Cricetulus griseus: one gene and its partners. The protein of the gene in region 5 interacts with the protein of the main gene of each other region in a biochemical or structural test. Links are inferred from orthologs where the notes say so. Each region holds a gene or a part of one and is shown on either strand. Other genes may lie near its edges.

Region 1 (3,977 bases), on a different chromosome or scaffold from region 5:
GATGGCATTGAACATCTGATCCCGCCTCCAAATCCCAACTGCTGCGATTATGTGTGCTACCACACACCTGGCTACAACTTTGATTTTTTCAATTATACCCTCAACAAAGACTACAATTCTATATCCTATAGCCCTCAAATGATCTTAACAAGCGTCAGTACTGCCTCCCTTCAGTGACAATAAAACATTAAGAGCTACTTGGTGTTAGTTTCTGAACAATATTTAAGCCGCTTTCCTTGTTCTGATTACCTGAATTTGTTAGTATCTGCTGAACGGGAGTCACGCCTGCAGGGAGGGCCAAGGTGGCAGCCGTAGCAGCAGCACTCTGCAAGAAGAAAAACAAAGGGAAAGTCGTATCTACGAGTGCGCGCCAAGTAGACCTCAGTTTATCTGTAGTGTACTTTACAGCGCATGGAGAACTGACTGAAAGGCACTCGAACAACAGGGTGCGCTCATGTGGCAAGAGAGCCTAAATAACCTATTCAAGTCTTTCAAGAAATTGTAAGTCTAATGGTCTGGCTCCCCTAAAGAACTTACTCTAAGCAACCTCCTGATTCAAGCTCTCACAGACTCAGTATGTTTTTAGAAATACATGCACTCACAGTAAAGTTGTACCGTGAGGACACCATTCCATGACTGCCATCCTTCCACTGTTTGGTTCCTTACACCCAATTTCCTGCTTCAATAATATACTTAAGGCCAAAGTCAAGCCATCCTTGTTTCTTCATTTTTACATTTCTCCCAAAATCAACAGGTCTCCCCCTAAAAGACAATCTGAAGAATTCCTTGGTTTCTATAACTGGCAATTTTTCTAAGATGCCACATTATCTAAAAGGAGCATGAACACACTGACACAACAATCTAGGTAAAATATGTAATGAGATGAGTGTTTCTTATCCAAAAGTTTCAGAACTATCTCAAACATCAGATATTTTCCCCGGATTTAAAATACTTGTGTGTATATGCGTGCATGCGCACTCGCACACACACACACTCTCTACCTTGTATATGTGAACCCAAAGGTCTATTGATGGTATTTTTCCTGCATACATTGATACAAATCCTGGATATAATTTCGCATTTTAGTAACTCGTCGGCTTTTTCTTTTCTTTTTCTGAGTGCAGTCTTGTATGTCTGTATGTCTCTCTAGTCTGTAACTTACTGCCCAGACAGGCTGGTCTTCAACATCAAGTCAGTCTCCTGCCTCTGTCTCCTGAGTACTGGGGATCACAAGTGCATACCAACCTGCTTAGTCTTGTTTTGCATTTTAAGGTATGAATTTAGAGATTACAGGAAAACAAACTGTGCATTATGTTTAAGTCAGAGCAAAGATTCTTTTAAACATGAAACTTTAGAAACAGTGTCCTTGAAAAGCCACATGCTGTGTGTGCATGGGCAACACAGCTGGATTTGATGGTTTAGAGAAACAAAACAGAAGACACAAACTTGGGTTGGCAGGTAAAAGATAAGGGGTGGATCTGGGAAGAGTTGGAGTAGGGGGGTGAATATAAATAAAATACATATGAAATTTTCAAATAACTAATAAAATTTAAAAAAAAAATGGCTTTCCTGGATTGTTAGCATTCCCCTCCTCTTACAACTAACTAACTTTCTGAAACAGAAGGTGTCAGTATATGCTTGGCTGATTCCCTACAGCTATAAAGTATTGACCACAAAGAGTATTTGGTATTAAGGAAAAAATTACATAATTGTATGAACTTTAATGTTTAAGATTAAGCTACACTTTAGATTTGTGGCTAACAGCTATTTTGCTCAAATCTTCCATAATCCTCAAACTGTTAAATACAATACACATAGGAATAATTGCAATTTTTAAGTTAAATAACTGAAGCCAATGTAAGTGTCATGTTCAAGTCTTACCGTAATACTTGATGCATTCATATGTTGTATCAACTTAGAATCAGGAACAATAACTTGTGGTGCCGTAGCTACAAATAGACAAAGAAAAAAAAAAGATATTTGTAAACAAGGAACCATGAGGACACTTCACAGTCACAGTAATACTATAAAATGCCAAACACTTTTTACTTTTTTCATGCTTCTGTTGTGTTTCTACATTAAAATACTCTCAGACTATTTTCTATTTCAGAAGTTTTTAAATTTTTCTATGGAAATCAACAGCTGAGATATATTCATTTTATATTGAAAAACATTAAAATGACAATACCTAGGCCAGGCATGGTAGTACATGCCTTTAATTCTAACACACTCAGGAAATAGGTAGGTGCATCTCTGAGTTCAAGGCCAGCGTGATCTTCCTAGTGAGACACTGTCTAAAAACAAACAAAAAAAACCCTACAACATCCTTTGACCAACTTGACAGCTACCACAATCGTGGCACTTTAATTAGCTATTTAAAAAATAGAAATCAATGGGTGTAAGTGCTTGCTGTACAAGCATGGGGACCTGAGTCTGAATCCCCAGAACGCAGGTAAAAGCCAGACAGCCACACAGCAAGGGCACTATAGCACCAATGCTCTGGACAGCATATGGGGAGCTACAAGGACAATGAGACAGCAGAACAGCTAGCTAGGTGTATATAGTAGAGGAAAAGCAACAGAGACCCTGTCTCAAACAAATGGAAAGAAGGATCAACACCGGAAGTTGTCCTCTGACTTCCATGAATGCACCATAGTATGTGAGCAACTACATCTGTGTGTGCACACACAGGCATCACACACACAATTCAGAAACAATGTCAATGTCAGTCAAAGAATAGAGTTGTTTGATCCCGCAAATTTCAGAGAATACACAGGTAATCCCATTACCTTGATATCCTCTGAGTGAAAAAAATCAATTTTAATTTATGATGACCTAAAATCCTAGTGCCATGCCTAAAGGCAATAGGAGGAACAGTCATCAAGGATGTGATTATGTGGTACAGACTTAGCATAGGTATTAAGAGTTGGTGAGACAACTATACACTGAACTGAACTCTGGAACCCAGTTGCAGAGAGGGAGGAATGATGAGTAAAGGGGTCAGGACCAGGCTGGTGAATCCCACAGAAACAGCTGGCCTGAACAAGAGGGAGCACATGGATCCCAGACTACTGTCTGGGAGGCCATCACAGGACTGATCCAAAACCCTGAAACTTGATGTCAATGAGGATACCTCGGTACTCTATGGGGCCTCTGGTAGTGGATCAGTATTTTTCCCTGGTGTAAGAAGGGACTTTGAGAACCCATCCCACGTGAAGGGATGCTCTCTTGGACTAGACACATGGGGGAGGGCCTAGGCCCGGCCCAGGATGATGTTGTGGAATCTGGGGAGCCCCAAGTGGAGGGCCCTACCCTCCATGGGGAGCAGAGGGGGGAGCAAGGAGGGGACTGGTGAGGGGTTGGGGGGAGGGAAGGGAGAGGGAGAAGGGATTGACAAGTGAAATTATAATTTTGTAAAAATTAAATTTAAAAAAATAAAAAGAGTTGGAGAGATGGCTCAGCAGGCAAAGTCACTTGCCCCCAAGCCTAAAGACAAGAGTTCCATACTTGGAACCCACACGGTAGAAGGAGAGAACAGACTCCTGCCAGTTGTCCTCTGACTTCCACATGTGTACCATGGTTTCCCACTCCCTCACAAACACTAAATTAATTCTAAAAAAAAAAAAAAAAAAAAAAAAAAAAAAAAAAAAAGATATTCAAAACCTATAAACATTAAGCCAAATCATATAGGCTGTTCTACTACGTATTCATTCTGTATTTCACATACTGAGATGAAGCAAATGAGTTACCTAACAGTGATACCTTAAACTAAGCTTTCATTTATCCTGTTTCCTTTCCAGTCAAGATTCATCTAAGTACAATACTGAGAAAATTTTGTAACTGGATAGACTTTCGTCATATTAAAAAAAAAAAAAAAAGCTATATATGATGGATTCTTTGTTTCTCCCCCCTGGGTTTTTCAAGATGGTTTCTCCGTATAGCCCTGGTTGTCGTGGAACTTAATTTTGTAGACCACA
Region 2 (4,417 bases), on a different chromosome or scaffold from region 5:
CTTGGTGGCCATGTTTCTGCACTGTGTCCCTTTCCCGCAGCCAGGGCCGCCCACCACGAAGATGATCAGGGGAGACTTCAGGACATCTGTAGTGTTCATGGAAGACAGTGGGTACTAGTGCGTGTCTTCAGGGTGCCCTGGTCTCGAATCGAAGGATCCCAGTGCTGGGATTCTCTTGAGCCATTTGCACAGACCTCCTTGGAGCACCCTTGTAATTCCATCACCCCATTTTACAGATAATGAAAGGGAGAGGCCCTCAAACTCACGCAGCCGCACCCTGCTCAGTCCAGCATGCGGTGGTCCTGTCTAACCTACCTGCTTACGTCTACAGTCACACCTCCCCCCGTGCTGGGGTCAAGCGTCCCAGCTTGTCCTCCCCCTGCCTCAGACCCCCCTCCCCCCATGCATTCCATAGTCAGCCATGGTTCTTTCTCTCTTTCGGCTCGCTTTGGTCCTCCTAGCCAGCCTCTGTAACCCAGGGTGCATGGCCCTTGATGGTGAAGAAATGAATGTCTCTGCTACCAACCGTGGAAGTCAGTAGCCGTTTATGGTTCAAGGTTTGTGCCTGCCTTGTCCCTCTGCTTAACCAACTCCTATGCATCCCTCAGGCCCCCGTTCTCTGAGCCCTTCCTCTAGAGCTGTAATTCCGCAGGCATCCACCACTGGGGGGGAGAGGGCATGCGCAGCTGCGTTCTTGCCGCGTTAGTGTGAGCACACCCGCACGGTGGGTGGGATACCTGCTCCCACGCCCCGTCCGCCACCCGCGTAAGCCAACCACCCCACCACGTTACCCTTCTCCTGGGTCCTCAAAGTTCTGCCCACCTGGGGCAGCGTGGACTGGCACAGACCCATGTTGCCCGCATGCCGGAGTACGCGGGGGCCGGGTTCCCACCTGCCCCGACCCCTTGGCTCCGCTCGACGTCACAAGGGGCTCATTTTTGCAAGATGCCCGGAATTCCCCCCGGCACCCGGGGCACAGAAAACGGAATCCCAGCCCCCCGCCCCCCCCCCCGGAGCCCCAAGAGTCCTCTCGCGGAGCCGGCCGCGGTTGCTATGGCAACGCGGCCTCCGCACCCGCCACTGGCACGTTGGCGCATGCGCAGGAGTGCCGAGGACGCACTCGCCAGAAGACGCCACTCCCACCCTGCCCAGGATGCACCGCGGTGCCTGAGCCGTGACGTCACGAGGGGCGTGCCCACGCGCCGTGAATAAATCACTCGCGCTGGCGGCGAGAGCGCTAGTCAGAGGCTGGAGACCGCCTGAGCTAGGTGAGTGCTGAGGTAGCTCCCACCCCGGTGTGGCAGTTCTAGTTCCGGGTCAGAGTCACGTCTTCTTGAGACTTAAGGGTTTGGAGACACAAAACACAGGATCATACCAACGTAACTCCCGGGCAAGTTGCCTTCCCCGGGACCGAGGGATACCACGAAGAGCATCGGATCACGCCGCCCCGGAACCGCTTGAGCAACGGCCATGGCGACTCTAGTGAGTATGAATGAAACGGAGAGGCGGGGTGGGGGTGGCAGGACAGATCCACGGCCTCTCCTCGCCTCACAAACCCGTGCTTCCTCTGCAGAGCCCCGGCAGCCAGAACGTCACCGAGTATGTCGTCCGAGTCCCCAAGTAAGTCACCCACACCCACCACACGCTCCTCGGCCCGGTGGTGGCTCCGTGCAAGTCACAGTAACAGTCACACCGTAGTTAATGTCAGGCTCGATGACTCTGTCCTATTTTCAGACGCTCAGGCCACACACGGTGGCTGCGTTTAATCCGGGAGACAGAGGGAGGTGGATCTCTGGGAGTTTGAAGCCAGCCTGGAAGCCAGAGCGCGTTCCAGGACAGCCAGGGCTACACAGAGAAACCCTGTCTCGAAAAAAAAAAAAATTCCCAAACTTAGATGAATGCGAGGCCAAGTAGTCCACCATTAAGCCATACCCAGCCCTCTCTTATTTTGAAGACCAGTCTTACTGTGTAATGTAGTTCTAGCTGATTTGACCAGGCTGGCCTTAAACCTACCAAGACCCTCACACACCTCCGCCTCTTGCCTGCTTGATCTCCTCTTTTTCCCAAGACAGGGTTTCTCTGTATTTCTTTGGAGTCTGTCCTGGAACTTGCTCTGTAGACCAGGCTGGCCTCAAACTCACAGAGATCTGCATGCCTCTGCTCCCCCCTCTCCCTCAGGTGCTGGGATTAAAGGCACTTGCCACCACTGCCTGGTGGCCCACTTTTTCTTTTATTATCTTTATGTGTAAGAATGTTTTGTCTGAGTCGGGTGTTGATGGCACACGCCTTTGATCCCAGCACTCAGGAGGCAGAGGCAGGCGGATCTCTGTGAGTTCGAGGCCAGCCTGGTCTCCAGAGCTAGTGCCAGGATAGGCTCCAAAGCTACAAAGAGAAACCCTGTCTCAAAAAAAAAAAATGTTTTGTCTGCATGTATAGTTATGCACTGTGAGCATGCTGGGGCTTCTGGGTGTGGCTAACTTCTGATAGGGTTGGAGGAGATGGATCCATTTTATTTTATTTATTTATTTATTTATTTATTTTTGATCTAGCTTCTTAAACAAACTCTGGAGCAGTGGTTCTCATCCTGTGGGTTGTAACCCCTTAGGTTCAAATGACCCTTTCACAGGGTCTAAGACCATTGGACCATTGGTCTAATTAGACCAATGGTCTAAGCCTAAGACCATTAGAAAACACAGATATTTACATTATGATTCATAACAGTAGCAAAATTAGGAAGTAGTAACGAAAATAATTGTGTGGTTGGGGATCACCCCAACATGAGGAACTGTTTTAAAGGGTGCAGCTTTAGGAAGGTTGAAAACCACTGCTCTGGAGCTTTTATGAGTTCCCAGAATTACCTACAACCAAGGGGTGTAATCATGGTGGATTTTTTGAATGACTAATCAGTAGACTGAATTTTCTCTTGCCCATTCCAGGAACACAACCAAAAAGTACAACATAATGGCTTTTAATGCAGCTGATAAAGTCAACTTTGCTACCTGGAACCAGGTAAGTCTATAATTCTGGGTGGCTGGGGCAGAGGCCTAACTGGGTGGTGGTTACAGTCATCACTTTCTTGAAGTGGTGGCGGCTACACTTACAACCCTGGCAGATGTGTGGTTCCAACCATTTGGAGGTGTGGTCTGACTACATAAATCCTGTCTCAAAAAAAAGCAAGCCTGGGTTGTGGCTGGTTAATGGAGCATCAACTAGCATATAGCAGGCCAAGTAGGACCCCATGTGTGCTGGACTTGGTAGCACGTGTCTATCATCCCAACACAGGCATGCGGTATAGGTTCTTAAATTGAAGACTATCCTTGGCTATGAAGTGAGCTCAAGTGAAGACTAGGATACCTGGACCATGCTTTAACAAAGACAAAGTATGGCGGGCGCTGGTGGCACACACACTTTTAATCCTAATCCCAGCACTAGGTGTCAGAGGCAGGTGGATCTCTGTGAGTTTGAGGCCAGCCTGGTCTACAGGGAAACCCTGTCTTGAAAAACCAAAAAATAAATAAGGAAATTTTAAAGGCCAAAGTTTTAAACTGTCCACTATTCTGGGTGCCATGTTAAAATGCTATATCTCCATATTGTCTGGTTGCATCTGAGCTATCCCCTGGTGGACACCGCCTGTCTCTGTGGTCTTTCTAAGGGCCCCATTCCCTGGAGTCCCTTTTGTGTGTGACATTTCGTGTGTGCACATGCACTTGTGGGCATGTGGTGCATCTCAGGGCCAGAGGTTGACAACAGGTGTCTTCTTTAGTTACTTTGCACATTATTATTTGGATGACATATGTTAGGCCACAGATGAGTGTGGGACACAATTTGGAGATCAGAGAACAGCTTTCAGGGGTCAGTTTTCACCTGCCTGGGTCTTGAAGTCTAAGGCTTCGCAGGCAACACTCTCTCACAGACTTTCCTCATGAGTTTCTGAGTCAGGGTATCCCACTGAACCTGGGCTTGCTGACCAGTGAGTTCCAGGTACCCTCCTGTCTGTTCCTGCCTGCTGGGGCCTCAGATGCATGTGGCATTGCCCAGCTTTGTTCCTGGGTACTGAGAATCCAAACCCTCCATTCCTGATGCCCAGAGCATATGGAATCCAGCAGAGGGAGACAGAAGGGTGTTCCTGTGGGGCCTGAGGATCCATGCCTGCTGCTCCCCCAGGCCCGGCTAGAGCGAGATCTGAGCAACAAGAAGATCTACCAGGAAGAGGAAATGCCAGAGTCCGGAGCAGGCAGTGAATTTAACCGAAAGCTCCGGGAGGAAGCAAGACGAAAGAAGTATGGCATCGTCCTGAAGGAGTTCCGGCCTGAGGACCAGCCTTGGCTGCTTCGGGTCAATGGCAAATCGGGCAGGAAGTGAGTGGTACTGATGGTGGGAGGGAGGGCCTGCCTGTGTCCCTCACACATGCACACTG
Region 3 (3,235 bases), on a different chromosome or scaffold from region 5:
TAGTGTTGGACTGTAACCTGTAAGCAGAAATAAAAATTTCCTCCTACTTGGTCAGTGATTTTGTTTTTGTTTTTGTTTTTTGACACAGGGTTTCTCTGTGTAGCTTTGGAGCCTATCCTGGCACTCACTCTGGAGACCAGGCTGGCCTCTAACTCACAGAGATCCTCCTGCCTCTGCCTCCCGAGTGCTGAGATTGAAGGTGTGCGGCATCAATGCCCGGCAAGAAAAATGTTTTATTTAAAAACTTGCTGGCCATGGTTGATGCCCGTAATTCCAGCACAGGGGAGGTGGAGGAAGGAGGATTGACAGCTTTAGTAAAAATGAACAGGACCAGGGCTGGAGAGATGGCTCAGAGATTAAGAACACTAGTTGGTCTTCCAGAGGTCCTGAGTTCAATTCCCAGCAACCACAAAGTAGCTCACAGCCATCTGTAATGAGATCAGGTGCCCTCTTCTGTCTGGCCTTCCAGGATACATGTAGGCAGAACACTGTATACATAATAAATTAAAAGAAAAAAAAAAGAGAGAGCTCTTAAAAACTGTGTGTGTCTGTGTCTCTGTCTGTCTTTAATCCATGTTGAGTTGACTATTACCTATGGTATGAGATAACCTGCCTTCCTTTTCTACTTGTAGATTCAAGTAGATTTTTCTGGTACACTTTATACTTTTTGCCTACATGTATATCTGCATACACTTCTCTGCCTGGTGCCCACACAAGCCAGAAAAGGGCTTTTTCCTGAAACTAGAGTAAAGAGATGGTTGTGAACCACCATATGGGTACTGAGGAAGCCAACCTGACTCCTGGAAGAGCAGCAGTTACTTTTAACTGCTGAGCCATCTCTCTAGCAACCCTTATATTTCCTTCTCCCATTTTCTGTTTTTACAGACTGTTTCACATATTGAAAACTAACTAAGCTTGGCGATGGTAGTGCACACCTTTAATTCCATCATTCAGAGGCAGAGGCAGATGGATCTGAGTTCAATGCCAATTTGGTCTACAGAGCTAGTTCAGGACAGTCAGGGACACACACACAGAAACCCTGTCTTGGGGCAGAGGGGAAGAAAGAAAAGAAAAGCCAACTGAGATATTTATTTTAACTCATGTTAAGTTAGTCCTTTCTATATTCTCTTTTGTAGGTTGTTTCTGTGTTTTTGTGCTGCCTTGATTACTATAACTGTGATGTAGTTTGTGGTCATGTTGCCCGCAGCTGTTACTCTTAGTTTGAGATTGTATCCCAGTCTTTTGTTAAGTGTCACAGATTGAGTGAGTTATACAGAAAAGAGGTGTATTTGGGGGCCTTCTTCCTGGTAGAGTTCAGGAGTGTGTTGAAGGTGTGGTAATATACCAAACAGTAGCTGAACTGGCTGTATGAACTCTGACCCTTGAGATAATGCATTAGTTAGTATGCATGGATTCACATGGGTACAGCCTTAGTCACCATTTGTTTTGTAATAAAAGTTGAAAAAAAATATCTTTTTTTATGTGCATGGGTATTTCGCTTGCATGTATTTCTGTGCACTGCATGTGAGTGAGCAAGGCCATGGAAGCCAGAAGAGGACATCTGAACCCCTAGAATTTGAGTTATAGAAGGTTGTAAGCCACCATGTGCATATTGGGGATCAAATCATGGGTTCCCCGCAAGAATAGTCTTAGCCACTGAGCTGTCATATAGCTTGCAGATGAAGTGTGTGGTTAATGAACTGGCAAGGAAGGAAGAGGCATGTTGGTGTAGGGGTTGGCATAGTTGTCTGGTCTGCAGCCTCTGAGCTGTGGTAAACAGGAAGCTTTGTGAACCACCTCAGTGTTTGGGAGCCACCCTTTCTCAGTTCCCAGAGTACACACTGTAAGACTTGGCCATCACTCTGTGTGTGTGTGTGTGTGTGTGTGTGTGTGTGTGTGTGTGTGTGTGTGTGTGTGTAAGGAAAGGCTGACAAGGCTCTTAATGAGCTTGGTTATTAAAGCTGTCTTTAGGAGAAGAATTTAAAGTGCAAAGGATTTTTGTATTCGTGCGTGTCAAATACATGAATGACATGGAGGCTAGACACCCATCTTTCTACTTTGTTTCATATGCGTATTTCTCAGCCCACCCCAGCTGTTTTGCTTTGGTTTTCCTTTTTGTGACTTACCAGTTCCTTGGTTAGTAGATTTAAAAAAAAGAAAAAAAATGTAAGCAAACAAGCATGTCACCTTCATATAAAGCTTTGGTGCCCCGTCTCCCCAAATGCTTCTAACTCTCAGTACAGAGGTGGAATACATTGCGCTCAGGGCCTTGAACCAGTATTTGAATAATTTGTGCCACAGGGAGGGAGCTGATTTGGGAAGAGTGTTAATTGCTTCTCTTCCCATGGAATATAGGAGAAGCTTCAGCCACACCATCCTTCTCTTACTGTTTCTGAAGAATAGAGCACACTGGTGGCTGTCCAGCTGCATTTCAGATCAGAGACCCCTTCTGTTGCTGTGTCCAGCACTGGAATAGTCTTGCCTTCCCTCCCCTCGTTCTTTTTTTGAGACTGTATCTCACTATGTATCCTGTCTGCCTTGAATTTGCTGCTACCCTGGCTGTCCTTGAATTCACAGAGGTCAGCCTGCTCTGCCTCCTGACTGCTACAATTATAGGTATTTGTTTGTTTGTTTGTTTTTTTAGTGAAATCTCAGTTGTATGGATTTAGGCCCGATAATATTCAAAGTGAATTTAGATCACAAGATACAGTGGTTTATAAAAATCCATGATAAAGTAACTACTGTCTTGTTGGTTTAGAATTCCAGAAACTGTGGAGGAGCGTCACTGTGGATTCAATGGATGAGGAGAAAATTGAAGACTATCTCAAGCGACAGGGTATTTCTTCTATGCAGGAATCTGGACCAAAGAAAGTGGTATGTCATCTTTATAAAAGCAGTTTCGTCACTTCTTCACTGCTTCTCCTCTTCCTCTGACAAGTGAGGAAGGGATTCCCTCTACTAGGTTTTCTCGGAGCCTAATGCATTCATTGACTTGCCAGATACAGCTGGGCATATCTGATGTATTGAGGCCAGTGAACCATCCATGGTGATGTCCCAGCTTGGGAGAGCGAGCTTTCTTTCTTTCTTTCTTTCTTTCTTTCTTTCTTTCTTTCTTTCTTTCTTTCTTTCTTTCTTTCTTTCTGGTTTTCGAGACAGGGTTTCTCTGTGGCTTTGGAGGCTGTCCTGGAACGAACTGTTGTAGACCAGGCTGGTCTCAAACTCACAGAGATCCGCC
Region 4 (4,462 bases), on a different chromosome or scaffold from region 5:
GGCACTAAGGAGCACTTGCAAAAGTGCCAACCTACCTTAAAGTCAGGACTTCCCCTCCCTGGGCCTCTTCTGGGCCACTGTACAGAGGAAGATGAATGCTAAGGGGGCCATAAAACATTCAGAGGCCCTTAGGCCAACCTAAGGCCATACTGGGTTTTATACCTTAGTTATACATTTGTATTTGTGTCCACCAAATGTACTGCATTGGAGGTAGGCCACTGCATAGAACTACTTTTTTTAAAAAATACTTATTTTTATTTTATATGAATTGATGTTTTGCTATGGGTGTTTGGTCCCCTAGAACTGGAATTACAGACAGTTGTGAACAGCCATGTGGGTGCCTGGGGTTTGAACCCAGGTTCTCTGAAAGAGCAGTCAGTGCTCATAACTGCTGAGCCATCTCTCCAACCCTAGAATGGATCTTGAAATTCCACACTTTCTATCAAACAGCATGCTTCTACTGGGCTCTAGGGACAATCGAAAGAAAAGAGCCATCCAAGAGGTCATACTGTGACAATTCTTATATGAGGACATATCATGTAGATGTGCTGCTCTCAGTTTTCCCTAACAGTCTCCTAAACTCAGCGCCAGGATTCTTGGACCACAGCAAGCCTAGTGTGGGGGATGTGATAGCTTCTCCAACATAGCTCAGTTTCCAGTGACTGGTGATGCCCACTAATCTTTTCTTTCAGTTTTCCCAGTAAAGGTTAAATCTCAGCTGAGTGCTGCCACTGTTTGGAGGGCAGGCCCAGTTAGGGGACTGGGTTTCAATCCTCCATCACCTCTGCTATGCCTGACAACACTGTTGCAGGATAAAACAAACCTGCACACATATACACACACACATCACCACCACCACCACAACAACACACACAACATACACACACTTAGGGATTGCCTTGACTTGGGGTCCTAGAGGCTGAAGTTCTAAACCAAATTCCTAAGTCTCCAGGAGGATGCATTGCCTCTGCAGCAGTTTTTCCTTTAAGAAAGCGAATTGAAATTGAGGATGTCTCACCATGCGGGTTTTGCCTAACTATGCATTTCTTGGCACTTAAAAAAAAAATAACCCTTTGGGTCTTCAGACCACTAGGATGTGAGTCAAACGAAATTTCCAGTTAACATCTCCCCTTCTTCCCCAGCTCGGGCTAAGGCAAGTCCGGAAAGAAGTTGGCCCCAGACTCGTTTTCTGCCAGGCCGCCAAGAGAAGGGAGGGTTCATAGGGAAATGTCACTTTGGTCAGCATCAATAGCCCAGCTCTGGGCCACCTTCACCAACTGTTAGGCCCAGGGAGGGGCTGTCTTTTCAAAGACGTTTAATCCCCAGATAAAAATCGTTCCTCAGCATCACGCCATTGAATTTGCAATGCTATTATGTGGTACGAAATAATCGGAGGAAACGAGGAAAACTTGGGAATTTCCCGTGCTCCTGAAATATCTTCAAGCGGGTTCGCTGGGTAAAGACGCCTGAGGGCCACGAGGATTTAGGACTATCCTGTAACACGTCGCTGGCTGCTGGGTCGGCTTTGAAAGCCAGGTCCAACACGTTCCGAAGCTAGCAAAGCGATAAATGGGGCGCTCCTTTGGCTGTCGTGTTGCTCCCCCCCACACACACACACACTTGTTCACGATTGTCCCTCTTGCTACATCATCCACTGGCCCAGCACACCAAGTAACTGTTCATAACTTGATGGGTAGGGGAGGAGTTTTGCAGAGCTCCGGAATCCCTGGAGAGGTGCTACTACCAGAAAGTGAAACTCCGCAGAGAGAAGATGTACTGGCCGCTGGGCCCATCTAAGTAGGGTGCAAAATAACTGTGTTTAGGGTCAGGTGGAGGAGCAGGAAACCCTCCGTGTCCTAAGTACAGGAAGGATAAGAGGGTGTACAAACACCCGCGCGCTACAAATGAACTGACACACTCAGGGGCACTGTGCCAAGGCAAGGAGCCCACGAAAACGGACTGAGGGGTTTGCCAGCTCGAAGCCTCTAACTCTCTTCCTGGGTGGGAGTGAGAAGAGGCTCAAAAGGCCTCCTCCCCGCCAACGCAACCTCTTCATGGCCTCCAGGTACCCAGATGCAGGTACGCCGACGCCCGAGACAAGCCGGCGCCGGCGCGCGGCCTGGCGCCCTCGGGCCCCACACCCCCTTCTGGCCCCTTCGCTCTCTGTTCTAGGCTGGCTACTTACTGGTTGGGGGCGGGGAGAAGCGGGGACTCTGCATCCATGGGGTCCGGTCTGACTTCTCGGGGCTCTCGGCCTTCACCAGAGCATCTTCTGGTAGCTTGAGGAGTCCCCCGACTGAGAAATGGCCGAGAGGCCGGGGCGAGGAGGGCGGGTCCGGGGCGCCCAGCGACCCGGGCCTAGTGCCCAAGTGCTGCAACGAGCCACCCGCTGCCTGAGCCCCCTCGGAGGCCACCAAGACGCTCTCCTTAGCCCCGGGCTTCCTGTGATCAGCCATGAGGGCCTCCACGCTGAAGGGCAGTAGCGAAGCCGGCACTTTGGGCTTGGCCCCCTCCTCATCTGTGCCCATGGCGGTCGCCGTGGCCACAGCAGCGCTGGGGGCCTGGACAGCGCCTCCCCCTGCAGGCTTGCCAAAGGCGGAGTCCTCCACTTTGACACCGAGTGGCAAAGAAGTCATAGCTGCAGCCGGGGCCATGCAGAGCCGGACCCCCACTCCAGCCGCAGCTCGGGCCAGCCCTGGAGCATTGGTTTCGGGCGGGCTGGGAGCGCGGCCGGCTTCTGCGAGTTCCCGGGACCCTGGCCCGGTCGGCCCTCCCTCGAGAGCCTCCCGCGGCTCTCCCAAAGGCCGGCTGGGGCGAGCTAGGCCTGGATCACTGCGCCGCGCAGGCCGAGTTCCCGGGCGCACTCGCCGGCTCCGGGTCCGCCGCCGCTCCCCTGAGAACTTGTTAATAAGGCAAGGCCAGCGCGGCAGCGACCAATCAGCGCGCGAGGGGGCGGGCCCGGAGAGAACCATTGGGCCGCGCTCCTGTCCCGAGGCGCGCCCGGCCTGGGGGCGCTCTGGGCTGAAGAGAGCTGAAGGTACCTGGGGAGCCTTTCCGCCCGATTTAGCCTGGTGGGCATCTGCCTGGCTGAGTCCCCCTAGACTTGGATACTACCGAGTTCCAGAGGGACTTTCCTTCATTAGCTCTTCTCTTCTTCCCTAGTCGTCCTTCACTGCCCCTTACCCACTTCTTCCTTTCCCCTTCATAGCCTACTTTCTTTCGCTGTCGCTATTTCTTTCTGGCCCCCTTCCCTCTTCGGCCCCCTTTTTCTACCACGAAGGTTTTTACTTCAGTTCACTTACAAATTCTTCTCATATTTGTTTTGAATGATCATACTTATTTGTCAGAGTAGAAAAGGAATAATAATAATTTCTTTCTTAAAAAAAAAAACCCTAAATGTCTTGTGTATTTCAATCTTAAAAAGTTTACCTCGGGGTAAAAGTGGACCTTTGTTTCTAGAGGCTGAACAAGTTTTTCAAAGGAAGCCTGGGCCCTATTGGTTCTGTGGGTGCAAGAACATGTAACATAATCTGGGAAATGCGCTTGGTTTTCATACAAACATGTACCCCCTTCCCTTACTTTTCTCCAGAAAGTTACACCTCTACTAGAGAACTGCTGGCCAAAGGAGCCCTTGGAACCCTTGGGTGGAGAATTGGAAACAACAACAAAACACCGATCTGGCCTCAGCGTGACCTCAGACAATGAGTCCTCAAAAACCTAATACTTTTCTAACGCTGGGTCTACGTTGTTGAAGAGAGCAGAGGCCATGTGAAGAAGGGGCTGGAGGAAGGAAGCAGTTCCTGGCATCGTAACTTTGGTGCGAGGCTTAAAAACTTTTGTTTGCCTAATTTCGAAGGTTTATTTTTGCTGATATAAGAAGGAGGAAAGTTGTTGAGGGGCACAGAAGAGCTATGTAAACTGGGTTCGGACGGGGGCGGGAGGGGATTGCTTTCTTTTATGGCCTGTCTTATCCCAGGGCCCAGGCCCGCGGCTCCGGGGGAGTTGGAGGAGGTGATTGGCGGCTCACTGGGACTGGGCATTGATGACTGCGGGGCTCTAATCTCCAGGAAACACAAGGGGCTGCCGTGGCCATTTAGGGGTAATTATCCGAGCACGGAGGGATAGCGAATTCCCTGGCCTTTTAACTGGGCGCAATAAAAAGCTGTAGATTAGGGGCGACCAGATTAAGGAAAATGAATTACTTTATTACCCAGACGGCGTCCGGGGTCTGGAGGGAGGGGTCGGGCTGCGGACGCCTGAGAGAGCAGAGCCTTACGTCTGCCCACAGGGCCTGTAGAAATAGTAAGGCCTCGCGGCGGGTTCGGGAATACTCGCTTCTGTGAAATGTAGGGATTTCTTAGGCATTTGAGAGTGCGGAGTAGGCACTGCACAGGGCTTGAGACTCAAAACTCATTTAGGCCCAGCTGGACGCCTGCTATACTGGGTCCACTTAGGAGTGTTT
Region 5 (3,977 bases):
AAAGGAAAAAAAATGACAAGCAAACAAAACAACGGTCTCAGGTATTATATCTAAAATAAATTTCTTTGACAGTATGATCACATGACTCTTACAAGGTATCATTTGTAACAAAAATCTAACAATTTACAGGCTGCATTTTTTTGTGCAGAGTACTCCAAAGAAAGAAAAGTATGTACATTTGTTTTGATTAATACAACTATTTAGAGTTCTGCAATACTGGGAAGGTGGAATGTATCTGGCACAAAAATAACTCCTAAGAGTTAGAAACTAGAAAACAACACTTTTAAAAAAAGATTTTTACTTTTCTGGTAGAAATATAAAAACTGGCTTATGTGGGAAAAGTTAAAATAAAAAGTCCAATTGTACAGGTGGCTTGAACACTTAAAAGTTCTGTCCCTTAAACCAACAAACTCATCAACAGCAGTGTTTAAAATCTAAATATAAATAAATGGGCAGTGCTGCCCAAGTAGCAGCACAGAGCAAGCGACTCACAGTAATGCTGCAGGGCAATCGATCTCACTGCAGAGGAGGTAACCTTTCAGTGTCCTGCAGTGGGACACACGGTGTCACTTCATGCTGCCACCTGTAACTGAGTGTCCTTCTCACAACTGTACCATGAGCGGTACCAAAACTGACGGGTTTTAAAAAACAAGTGGGTAGGGGAGGCAGGACATGGCAGCCACTATGTGGTCTTCCTGAATCCCTTTAAGATGGGGTAGATGTTTTCAAATGCTTCATAAATTTCTGCTCTAACTTTAGCACCTACAAAGACACATTGGAATAGAAACGAGATGGTTTAAGTAACATTTCTTAAAATAGAAAGTAACATCATTACCTTAAAACAAAGCCACAAATACAGTTCTCTCCATACCCAGTTAAGACAAACAAATGGTATTAAAATAAATGGTGGAGGCCCTTTGTCATAATCCTAGCCTTCCTTTTTTCTTTTTTAAGAGACAGGGTTTCTCTGTATAGCCCTGGCTGTCCTGGAACTTGCTGTGTAGACCAGGCTAGCCTGCCTCTGCCTGCTGAGTACTAGGATTAAGGGCCATGCCCCGCTCTCCAGCTTTTGTTTTTAAAACATTATTTTCTTAGCGTTTAAAGACTTTTAACTCTAGACCAGCATTTCCTCACCAGTTGGTCGCAGGCCAGGATCCACAAGTCAGCAAGCAAGGCAATACCCCCCACCCTCCTAGTATTCGTGTTTCCTCCTTGCCTGCTGCCACAGTCAAACATAGTCTAGCCGCAGGCTACAACTGTAGCAGAACTCTAGTGTTTTCACTCTTCCCCCTTTCTCATGAAGGATGGGAAGCAAAATGTAAACAAAATCTTCCTTACAAGTGGCTAGGCAGTTGTCCCAACACAGAAATCCCATCCTAAATTCTTTCCAAGTTTGGTACTCTATCCCTTTAACTTACCTGTTAATACAACTTTTCCAGAAACAAAAATAAGGAGAACAATCCTGGGTTTGATCATTCTGTAGATTAATCCAGGAAATAATTCTGGCTCATAGCTAGAAAGAAAATGGGAAAACAGTTTAGGAATCACCAGTTTTTTTTTTGTGTGTAAACACAATGAGGCCTTGTGTCAGGAAGTACTGAGTGAACAAGCCAGGTGTCCACAAATAGGACACACAAGAAGGAAACACTTTCACCAAGCAAGAGCCAAATGGCATGGATATGGCTTTCTATGCTGTCCTCACAGAATCTAGATTTTCTATGATAAAAACAAGACTGTATACTCACATTCTCTGACCCTCATTAGGTTCATTTTGGGCAAGTCTAGGGATAGCAGCTTAATCTCACCATGCACTCTTAAGAGTTGATAGTGGCAGTCAACCTTGTAATCATACATCACCTTCCTGAATAGAAATACTCTAACAGGGTGACTTAACCAGAGTGACAAACCATGAGCTTGGAAATGAACCTACTCCCTGATCACATCATCTACCTGAACTGACATTAATGAAATTCTAACCTAGTGATTTCAGGTTTGTTTAATCTGATAAAAGGACCTGTGTGTCTTATGTGTAACCTGGAAAAAAACTCTTTTGGGACAGGTTTATATGAAAAGGAGCAACACTGACTATCTGAAACTCAAAAAGGAATTTCTATGTTAAAAACTGAACCTAATGTGCCAGGTATAAAAGTACCATGTGTAAAGGCCCTGAAGCAAGAGGATTAGGGTAAGTGTGAGGGGGCTGGTGAGCTGATGTGGCCGCAAATAGAAAACAAATAACCGAGGTAAGGGTGAGAAGAAAATGGAAAGGAATAATAAAGGACAGCACATCCCTGCTTGCTCATTTGTATACTTTGCTGGTGTGTTGACAAAAAAGATTCAAACTAGGAGAAAAATGGTAGAAGAAACTACAAATTTATTTATGTAAATGGATTTACTGACTAACAAAATGATAAGGCATACAGAAGTGATCTGAGTCGCTCCAGGGAAGGAGTTTGGGTGTCGGTCACTGAGTGAAAGAGGGCAGCAAAAAGTGCAGTAGCACAATTGCAGAGATACCTTATGTTTACATGGAGCACACTCAACTTGCAACTACATCATAAGCTTAGAAACAGAATGTCTTACATGTACTTCACCCTGAATGATGCCTGAGTAGATAGTAAATGGATTGTTGCTAACACTAATCCCAATATCTCTCAGACCTACCTGCTGAACTGCTGGTGGGTCAGCACAAGGCCTTCCAGCCTTATGGGGAACTTCACATCACAGCTCCCCACCATGTTTTGGATCTTGAAGTCTAAGAACTTAGCTGGAAAGCCCAACTTCTGCACAACTCTAGCGTATTTTCTTGCTGCTAGTCTGGATTGTTCTTCACTAAAGAAAAAAGAAAAAACAGTGAGTATGTACAGAAGCCTAATGGAGTAATTCAGAAGAATAACTTAAATGGAGTCTAAATTAGAAAACTAATTAAACTATCCCTGTGACCTTAACAGAAAGGATAATCTACCAAAACATCAGCCTTGGATTTGCCAGATTACCGACAAGCTCTAGGTTTAAAGGATGTGATGTAGCATGTGATTCAATTATGATCATTGCTTTTACTACATTCTGACCCACAAATATCTACTGAGATGGAAACCTCATTTTTATATATAAAAAAAAAAATACTAAAGCCGGATGGTGGAACACACAGATTTAATCCTACCACTTGGGAGACAGAGGCAGGTGTATCTTGAGGCCAGCCTGGTATACAGAGCAAGTTCCAGGGATACACAGAGAAACCCATTTTTGAAAAACAAAACAACAACAACAACAAAAAACTGAAAAGACTAGTAAAATTTACTACTGACAAATACATAAATTCTATCTTCCTTTACATCAGATCTCCATCCACTCTTAGGACAACATTATTGGATGGAACTGACTTTCCAACTTAGCTTTCACCACAAAAGTAGGATGCAAATACTAAAGTACAGGAAATCAGGGGTAACAAAAATGAGAAGTGGGCATTGATGCTATTCAAAGTGATTAGGATAAACCATTAAAGATAACACATTGAAAGTGTTAGTCCAGGGCTGGAGAGATGGCCCAGTAGTAAAGAGCTGTGGCTGCTCTTCCAGAGGACCTGGGTTCAATTCTCAGCACCCACATGGCAGCTCACACCTGTCTGTATTTCTAGTTTCAGGGGACCCAGCACCTTCACACAGACGTACATGTAGGCAAAACACAAATGTACAGGAAATAAGAATAATATATATATGTTTGGTTCCAAGCATTTGAAAAAAACATGCTAATCCAGCAGGGCGGTGGTGGTGCACTGCTTTAATTTCAGCACTAAGGAGACAGAAGCAAGCAGAATTTTGTGAGTTCTAAACCAGCCTGGTCTACAGAGTAAATTCCAGGACAGCCAGGGCTACAGAGAAAAACCCTGTCTCAAAACAGACAAACAAACAAAAGTGCTAGCCTGATAATAGAAATGATGATATATCCCTTTTCTTTGATAATACATCCACCAGAAA
Region 6 (3,977 bases), on a different chromosome or scaffold from region 5:
TTTCTTCTGACCTTCATAGGCATTGGTCACACATGTGGTACATATACATACATGCAGACAAAGCACACATAAATACATGAAAATTAAAAAAAACCATAACTGATAGTTTGGTTGTGGGTATGTAGGACAGAGGACAGCTTTTTAGGAGTTGGTTCTCTCCTTTCACTTGTAGGTTCTGGAAATCAATCTTAGATTGTCAAGCTTGGTAGCCCGTGCCTTTACTCACTGAGCAATCTTATGTCCCCCATGTTCTTGAAAAACAACAAAACCACAAACTTTCCTTTGCATTATTTCATGTAGTATAGAAACCTATCAATCTAACCAGTGTTTCAAAGTGAACCTCTATGTTGACTTTTCAGGTGAATCTCTTTACTGTATCATATTCCCTCCAGTTCATTTCCCTAAAAGTATATTTCAAATTTTGTTTATTCTCCTTTTCTCTCCCTAGGTTTGGATGGAACTGTTGAGCAAGGCTTCAGTTCAGTATGTGGTAGCAGCTGCTTGCCCATGGATGGGTGCTTGGCTTTGCTTAATGATGCAGCCTTCTCATTTACCTATTGATTTAAATATGTTGCTAGAAGTAAAATCAAAAGCCAAGGTAAGTATAGAGAAACCTAAGTTATTTCTATGTTAAATTCATTATTACCAATATAGTAACTGTTTGAGAAAGTTGTATTTATTGCTTAATTCTGAGGGTGTCGTCATTAACATTAGGCAGGATCAATTCTTTATCCAGATTCTGGCAAACTGGATAGTAATTATTACAAACTGGATAGTAATTTAGAATTTTATGAAAAGAACTACATTTTACTGGCTTTGTTTTTTCCAACTAAATTTAATTGATTAATCTTTAATTATTGGTTTTCCTTCCTGTTTTTCCTCTAGGAAAAAACAGGTGGTAAGGTACGGCAAGGTCAAATTCAGAATAAAGAAGTGCTTCAGGAGTATATTGCAGGTGCAGACACCATCATGGAAGACTCAGCTACCAGGGATTTTGTAGTTATGAGGGCCAGGATGATGGCAGCTAAGTGAGTATTCATTTATCAAGTGTCAAGTATATATTGAAAATTTTGGCTAATAGCTATAAAATTGAACCAAAATATTTTCCCCCATGTCTGTCAGTTGTTCTTTACACTAGTTATCTAAGAAAAAAGCAAGTAAATATTTTTAAGTTTTTGAAGTTTTAAAAATAGATGGCTGGGTGGTGCCACACACCTTTAATCCCAGCACTCAGGAGACAGAGGTAAGTGGATCTCTGTGAGTTCCAGGCTAGCTTGGCCTACAAGAGAGTTCCAGGACAGCCAGGGCTGTTACACAGAGAAACCCTGTCTTCTAAATAATAATAATAATAATAATAATTCTCTGGATTTAAACAAAATTATTATTATTATTATTATTATTATTATTTGGAGTTGGAGGTGTGGTTCAGTTAGTAGAATTTTTTTGTAGCATACACAAATCTCTGGATTTGACCCCAGACACAACAAATAGACAGTGTGGTGATGTGCATCCACAGTGTCACTTGAGAGAAAGGGTGATCAGGAGTTCAAAGTCATCCTCAGTGACAGAGAGTTGAGGGCCAACCTGGCATATGTTAGACCCTGTGTCAAAAACAAAACAAACTCCTCCATGTCTATTCATGAAAATAAGGTAGAAGATAATTTAACGTTTTTATGGGGAAAATTTAATGGATTTAGTAAGAGAAGTTTTCCCTCAAGTAAATTTTATAGTACGGCCTTTTTCTCTCTTTTAGGTTGTTAGGAGCACTTTGCTGCTGTATTTGTGATCCAAGTGTAAACATGGTAAACCAAGAAATTAAACCAGCAGAATCCCTTGGCCAGTTACTACTATTTCATTTGAACTCCAAATCTGCGTTACAGAGAATTAGTGTTGCATTAGTAATCTGTGAATGGGCTGCTTTACAAAAGGTAAGATATATTCCTAAAGTAATAAAGGCAACTTTAGTAAAACCAACTTCCATTAGTATTTAGGACTATTTATAACTTATAGTTTCTTTATAGAAATCTAATAGTTATGGGAAAGTATTTCATATAATATTGAACATGATTTGTTTTCCATTTACTTTTAACTTTTTTTTTTTTTAGCACCCCATTCATATCTGAGACTAAGTTGTGCTCATATTTAGTATCTGTTCATCCCTACAGTCTGTTACAAAGCTCCTTGTTAAAGTCTTGTTTGTATAGAAAGATGCAAGCCAAAGCCTGAATGTGTAATTCAGTTGGTCATTGTTTTCAGGCAGCACATTTTCAATGCTTTGTAATTTTGGAGCTCTATTTATATGGATAGTGACAAAGGTAGAAGTTTTGGTCACAAGAAAAAGATTTCCACATTTAAACTCAAATTTTCATTTCCAAATGAGCCAAATTCCCTTCTATCCTTTTTAACTTTAAATTTCTGTAAGATGTATCATTTTGTTTAAACTTGTTTCTGTAAATCAAAGAAACTTCCTGCTGGTTTTGTTTATTCCATTGACTGGAATTCTGGAAATTTAACTGTCTGCACTTGCTGTGAGAGTTGCTTGTTACTGCCTCTTAGCAGTTTGTCAAAGCTTTGTCTAAAAGTCATTGAGCCATGCTTTACTGCAATTGAGACCCCACTTTGCCTCTGGAAAGAAGCAAAGCTTAATCTGTTTTGTTGTCAGGACCCCATGTGCTGGAGAGGCAGTGATGCTGTGTTTTTGTGCCTCTCAGACTCAGCAGCAAGTGTTGACAGTTCGGTTTCTGGACCCTCACAGAGCTTCTCTGGATTTACTCTGTGAAGCCCAGGCTGATCACCCAGATCCCACAGAACCCCTCATGGCTACCACTGAGGCCATTCCCCCTCTTGTTGGGGCAGGCAACAACCAGAGAGAGTGGGAAGGGTTAGTTAAATTTGGGGGCAGGTAAGTAGCTTTTAAATTATATCCATTTTTACAATACAGCATGTGAAGCTGTGGTTGAACTGTTAAAGATCTCTAATACCAAATTTTGAATAATATTTTTAGTGCATGCCAGATTGATTCCTGACTGGTTTTTATAGTAATATACTTCTAAAATGTCTGCTTTGTTTATCTATTTATTTATTTATATGCATACATATATTGAATAAATTCAGAGTACACTAAGAATAATTAGGTTGAAAATTAAATGCAATTATAATACTTAAATGTGCATGTCTGTAGTCATTCACATTAAAATTTCAAAGTAGTTTTGATGTAATACTTTTGTGTAACTAACTATTTTGGAAGATAACAGACTATAGATTGAAAATCAGTGCAATGTAGCATTTGGTTGTCTGAAGTCAGTATTTTAAACATCTCTACCATTATGTTTCTATATGTTCCTGAGTCTTGATATCTATTGTATTTTAGGAGTGTAAAGCTGTTACCCTAGCTGTGCAGCCACGTTTACTTGATATCCTTTCAGAACATTTGTATTATGATGAAATTGCTGTTCCATTCACACGAATGCAGAATGAATGTAAACAGTTTATATCATCATTAGCTGATGCAAATATTGAAGTGGGTAATAGAATAAACAACAATGTTTTAACAATAGATCAAGCTAATGATCTGGTGAGTAAAGAAGTAACTTTCTTAACTTTACATGAAATAAAGATTAGAAATTTGCCATGATGTGTCACCCCAGAAGCATACTAATATGTTGAATCTTTTTGTGGTATGGTTTCCTGTCATCCTGCTCTTTAGAAAGGTTATTTCATTGTACTGAATTTCTTGAAATTAGAGGACAGAGAACTAGTTAATACATCCTAATAGAAAACTTGTAAAGTTTTGTCATTTATTGGTGTATCATAAGATTTTGGTAGATGGGAAAAACTGCTTCTGTGGTTTCTTGAGTATTTCTCTGCTTGGTGTAAGATACAAATATTGAAACATATAGAAGCAAAAGCGTTACACAAAACTGCTCATGTACTCAGCATTTAGAATAGCAACACTCATTCATACCCCGTGTTTAGAT
Region 7 (4,473 bases), on a different chromosome or scaffold from region 5:
ATTCCAAGATAAGTCAGAGACTATCCGAAATGTAGCTACAACCACCACTGCTATGACAAAAGCTGAAAACAAAACCTCAAGTCCAAATGGATACATTGGAGAAGTACACCTCATATTTAAGTAAGACAGGACCAAGAAGTGGTAGGCACACCTCTGTATCTTTGCTAGGTAGAAGACTGAGAGGCAGGAACATCGTGAGTTTGAGGTCAGCCTAAGTTACACAGTAAAACTAAGAAAGGAAAAAAGAGCAGAGTGCACTGTTTACACACAATCCCTTCCAGAAAGTGAGTGGGACATTGCTCATTTGCTTCAGGAGTGTGTTACTTTGACATCTAAGGCTGACAGGTGTTAAACTACGGACTAATATTCCAAGTAAACAGATTAAAATCCCTAAGCATAGCCGAGCAGTTGGGAGGCAGAGGGAGGCTGGTCTCCATGAGTTCAAAGTCAGCCTGGTCTACAGAGTGAGCACCAGAACAGCCAGGACTACACACAGAGAGACCCTATCTTGACAAACATAAAAAAAAAAAAAAAAAGAAAAAAAACTTCAGGCATGTTCAACAGAAAATACACTAAGTGAGTTTACCTCTGGAACTCGGAGGAGATTCAAGAATTTGCCAGAGGGGCTAGGGAGCGGTTCAGGGAATTAAATGCTGTGCAAGCCTGACTGAAGTTCAGAGCACCAGAACTCACATAAAAGCTGGTCAGGTGTGGTAGCCATCTATAACCCCAGTACTTGGGAGTCTGAGAGAGGTTGAGAAAGTAGCCAGTTCAGCAAGAGACCTTGCCCTAATAAATAGTGTAGAATTATCAAGCAAGAATCTGATGCCAACTTTGTGTCTCCTCACTCATGCACCCATACATGCATGCATGCAGACCCTACACGCACCCTGCCCCTGCCGCCTACAGAAATTAGCCACACAGGGCCTGGTGGTGCATGCTTGTAATCCCAGCACTTGGGAGGCAGAGGCAGGCTCAAAGTTTGAGGCCAGGCAATCTACATAGGGACACATTGTCTCAAAAAAAAACAACAACAAAAAGAAGTTAGGCCTTGTAGTACAGCCTCATAATCCCCATACTTACAAGGCAGAAGCAGGACTGCAAGTTCAATGCCTGCCTGGACAACTTGGCAAACCCTGACTCAAAATAAAATGACAAAAAACACTAGGAATATAACTCAATAGCAGAGCACTTGCTTAGTGTGAGCAAGCCTGGGTTCCAGCCCCAGAGCCATACACACAGATACACATAAATATGCATATACACATGCACACACACGTACATACATATATACACACAGATACACATACATATACACATGCACACACGCGTACATACATATATACACATATACACATACATATATACATGCACACACACGTACATACATATATACACACAGATACACATACATATACACATGCACACACTCGTACATACATATATACACATATACACATACATATACACATGCACACACGCGTACATACATATATACACATATACACATACATATATACATGCACACACACGTACATACATATATACACACAGATACACATACATATATACATGCATACGCGCGTACATACATTTATACACATATATATATACATACATATACACATGCACACACACGTACATACACATGTAGGTACATATATACATGCATACACACGTACATATATACACACAGATACACATAAATATGCATATATACATGTATACACACGTACATATACATACATGTATACATGCATACAGCACATATATACATACATATATACATGCATACACACGTATACACATATACACATATATACATATATATGCATGCATACACACATACACACATATACATACATATATACACACGCACATATATATACATACATACACACGCACATATGCATACACACACACACACACACACTTACACTACAACAAGAGGGAAACTGACTACAAATCTCCCATTCTAAAAAGGAAGCAAAAGCTGGGTGACTCACATCATCCGATCCCAAGGCATGAAAGTGTAAACAGAGCGTAGGGATGCGCACAAAACAAGAGCCCAAAGCAGACACACATGGTGTCTACGGTGATCTCTGCTGAAGGTACAGTCTTAGCAAACCGTGGAAAACGACCTCCGCACGCGAGAGAGAGGCCGCAGCCTGCACATCATCATTCCCCACAAAACCTAACTCTAGCTGTGGCACGGGCTTCCCCGGCATAGGATCGGCTCGCCAGAGGTCCTGGGTGAGAGCCCCAGGCACAGAAAACACAAACAGAGCGACGTTAAAGCGTGAGCAACTACTTTCAGAAGACAAAAATGTGGTGACTCAAGCAACAACATTTTAGATTCATCACACACGCACACAGGCACGCACACGCACACGCGCGCACACGCACACGCACACACACGCGCGCACACGCACACACGCACAAACACACGACGGACTGGAGCGTTTCATGCGGTCGGGGTGAGTAACGTACAAAGAGGGACTTGCAAGTGGAAACTCCGCGGCCTCTCGGCACGCAACGGTCAGCAGACCGCGCAATCAAGCGCCGGGGCCGGGCAGAGCAGCGGGCAGTGCGCACCTGTCAGCGCGCACGGCCGGGGAGCGCGGGGGAGCGGCCTCAGTTTCCCGCCGCCCGCCCGCCGCCCGCTCGCCCGGGACCCACCGTCCAGCGACACGAACTGGCCGACCGCCGACGAGCCGCCGCCGCTGTTCTCCACGAACTGCACCTCGGACACGATGATGTTGTCCTCGAGCACCGAGCCGCAGCCCGTGCACACCGCGTCGCCGCGCGCCGCGTCCAACTCGATGTCGGTGCCGCCGCAGCCGCGGCAGACGCGGCCCGTCATGGTGGCGCCGCCGCGGGGCCCCGCCGGCCCCCCGCCGCTCCGCCGCCCGCTCTCCGCCGCGGCCCTCAGCCCGCCAGCGCCCGGCGCGCCGCCTCCGTCCGAGCCGCACTCTCGCGATGCCGCCGGCGCCACGCCTGCCGATTCGTCGTGGCCGATTCGCCACGCGCGCCCGGGCCGCGCCGCCGCCAACGGCCGCGCCGCGGGACCCAGAAGGGAACTCAGGACGCGTCTTCGCCGCGACGCCGGGACCGAACCGCCATCACTCCGCCGGCCCGCCTGCCTGAAGGGACGCTCCAAACCCGGAGGAGCAGGCCTCGCGAGCTACGGGCCCGCGGAGGGGACAAGGGCCGTGGGCGGAGCCGGGGCTGTGGGCGGGGACAGGGCGGGGCTTAGCGCGACCGGGCCCGGTTGGGGCTGTGGGCGGAGTCTGGGAAGAGTCCCCAGAGGTGTGGGCGGAGCCTGGGTCGACACGGACTGTGGGAGGAGCCAGGGTTGGGCCAGGGGCGGGGCTTAGCGTGACGGGGCCCGGACTGGGGCTGTGGGCGGAGTCTGGGAAGAGTTCCCAGGGGTGTGGGCGGTGCTAGAGGCGGGGCCGAGACCCAGGAGCGAGGCGTGGGCGGAGCTACGGAGAGCAGGCGGAGGGAGAAGGGGCTTCTGGAAACAAAGCCCTGGGAACGGATTGTAGGCGGTGCTGGAGAGCGTCCAAGGTCCGGCCCAGGGTCGTGGTGGGACCTGCGTTGGTTGGGACAGTGGCCTGTGGGAGGAGCCCGGGGAGTAAGCACGCCCTAAGGCTGGACCAAGAAAGAACTGCGTGCCAGCCAAGTTGTGAGAGGGCCCAGGAGAGCTCTCAGACCAGCTGCACCTGGCTAGGGTGAGCCCTGGGTCCCCTCAGCCTGACTTTTCACTCCCTGTTTCCTGGAAACCACTGGCTTGGGGAGGGTGGTGAGCTCTTGCGGAGTGGAGCCCATGCACGGCCCTCAGGATCTGCCGGGGCGGCTCACTATCCAGCCGTCCTTGGGAGGTTTAGCAAATCTTGTGCTAAACTTGCCAAAATCCTCCCCCAGAGGTAGGAAACTCCAAAGTTAGGCTGCAAAACGTCACAGCAGCTCAGATTGAATTAGAAATTGCCCTTCCCCGGGTAAGAGGAAACATTGTAAATGTGGCAACTCCTCATAAGCTTGCAAAGCCAGTGTAATAATCCCAACTGAAGTATCAACAGAATTGTTTGCTTTTCGAGACAGGGTTTCTCTGTGTAACAGCCCAGACAGTCCTGGAACTCGCCACCATCGGCTTGCTTCAGCAGGATTTTTAAAAGAACTTGGAAGAGCTCTCCTTGAAACATGGCAAAGAAAGGGTTTGTGAGATGGCTCAGCAAGGAAAGGTGGTTGCCTAGCAAGTCTGACTGTCTGAGTTCGATCCCAGGAACTCAGGTAAAAGTGGATGGAGATAATTGACCCCACAAAGTTTCCTTTTACCTCAACCCGTGTGTACGTACGCTTCCCAACACCATACACACAGTAATTTTTTTAAACTTGAAATGGCAGGTGAGAGATTTAAAAGATCTGAAGTGCTGCTTATCACCCCAAAAAATTCCAACCAGCCCAGGAATT

The links.
Region 1: the proteins of Tbp (region 5) and Gtf2a1 form a complex in vitro, tested with the Homo sapiens proteins (7 studies listed by BioGRID and IntAct, with this or other methods). The link is inferred for Cricetulus griseus from reciprocal best matches to the Homo sapiens genes TBP and GTF2A1.
Region 2: the proteins of Tbp (region 5) and Gtf2f1 form a complex in vitro, tested with the Homo sapiens proteins (3 studies listed by BioGRID, with this or other methods). The link is inferred for Cricetulus griseus from reciprocal best matches to the Homo sapiens genes TBP and GTF2F1.
Region 3: the proteins of Tbp (region 5) and Gtf2e2 form a complex in vitro, tested with the Homo sapiens proteins (2 studies listed by BioGRID). The link is inferred for Cricetulus griseus from reciprocal best matches to the Homo sapiens genes TBP and GTF2E2.
Region 4: the proteins of Tbp (region 5) and Msx1 form a complex in vitro, tested with the Homo sapiens proteins (2 studies listed by BioGRID). The link is inferred for Cricetulus griseus from reciprocal best matches to the Homo sapiens genes TBP and MSX1.
Region 6: the proteins of Tbp (region 5) and Btaf1 form a complex in vitro, tested with the Homo sapiens proteins (2 studies listed by BioGRID). The link is inferred for Cricetulus griseus from reciprocal best matches to the Homo sapiens genes TBP and BTAF1.
Region 7: the proteins of Tbp (region 5) and Brf1 form a complex in vitro, tested with the Homo sapiens proteins (2 studies listed by BioGRID). The link is inferred for Cricetulus griseus from reciprocal best matches to the Homo sapiens genes TBP and BRF1.

What each region holds. Positions count from the first base shown.
Region 1 is NC_048598.1:113,326,696-113,330,672, reverse strand, and holds part of Gtf2a1 (transcription initiation factor IIA subunit 1), read right to left. Parts: intron 2,884-3,977; exon of another isoform or gene 2,741-2,883; intron 1,950-2,740; coding exon 1,882-1,949; intron 326-1,881; coding exon 250-325; intron 1-249. UniProt on the Homo sapiens protein: TFIIA is a component of the transcription machinery of RNA polymerase II and plays an important role in transcriptional activation. TFIIA in a complex with TBP mediates transcriptional activity.
Region 2 is NC_048598.1:96,546,566-96,550,982, forward strand, and holds the start of Gtf2f1 (general transcription factor IIF subunit 1), read left to right. Parts: upstream 1-1,205; 5' UTR 1,206-1,470; coding exon 1,471-1,482; intron 1,483-1,567; exon of another isoform or gene 1,568-1,573; coding exon 1,574-1,620; intron 1,621-2,936; coding exon 2,937-3,009; intron 3,010-4,087; exon of another isoform or gene 4,088-4,092; coding exon of another isoform or gene 4,093-4,164; coding exon 4,165-4,358; intron 4,359-4,417. Other genes in the region: adenylate kinase isoenzyme 1-like, read right to left, coding at 1-86, 792-852. UniProt on the Homo sapiens protein: TFIIF is a general transcription initiation factor that binds to RNA polymerase II and helps to recruit it to the initiation complex in collaboration with TFIIB. It promotes transcription elongation.
Region 3 is NW_023276807.1:51,043,069-51,046,303, reverse strand, and holds part of Gtf2e2 (transcription initiation factor IIE subunit beta), read left to right. Parts: intron 1-2,758; coding exon 2,759-2,874; intron 2,875-3,235. UniProt on the Homo sapiens protein: Recruits TFIIH to the initiation complex and stimulates the RNA polymerase II C-terminal domain kinase and DNA-dependent ATPase activities of TFIIH. Both TFIIH and TFIIE are required for promoter clearance by RNA polymerase.
Region 4 is NW_023276807.1:106,761,103-106,765,564, forward strand, and holds the start of Msx1 (homeobox protein MSX-1), read right to left. Parts: upstream 2,896-4,462; 5' UTR 2,655-2,895; coding exon 2,186-2,654; intron 2,080-2,185; exon of another isoform or gene 1,756-2,079; intron 1-1,755. UniProt on the Homo sapiens protein: Acts as a transcriptional repressor. Capable of transcription autoinactivation.
Region 5 is NC_048595.1:294,452,289-294,456,265, reverse strand, and holds part of Tbp (TATA-box-binding protein), read right to left. Parts: intron 2,833-3,977; coding exon 2,665-2,832; intron 1,514-2,664; coding exon 1,419-1,513; intron 763-1,418; coding exon of another isoform or gene 683-762; exon of another isoform or gene 38-682; intron 1-37. UniProt on the Homo sapiens protein: The TFIID basal transcription factor complex plays a major role in the initiation of RNA polymerase II (Pol II)-dependent transcription.
Region 6 is NC_048596.1:24,798,322-24,802,298, reverse strand, and holds part of Btaf1 (TATA-binding protein-associated factor 172), read left to right. Parts: intron 1-448; coding exon 449-598; intron 599-885; coding exon 886-1,028; intron 1,029-1,753; coding exon 1,754-1,928; intron 1,929-3,370; coding exon 3,371-3,574; intron 3,575-3,977. UniProt on the Homo sapiens protein: Regulates transcription in association with TATA binding protein (TBP). Removes TBP from the TATA box in an ATP-dependent manner.
Region 7 is NC_048598.1:181,046,554-181,051,026, reverse strand, and holds the start of Brf1 (transcription factor IIIB 90 kDa subunit), read right to left. Parts: upstream 2,911-4,473; 5' UTR 2,864-2,910; coding exon 2,680-2,863; intron 1-2,679.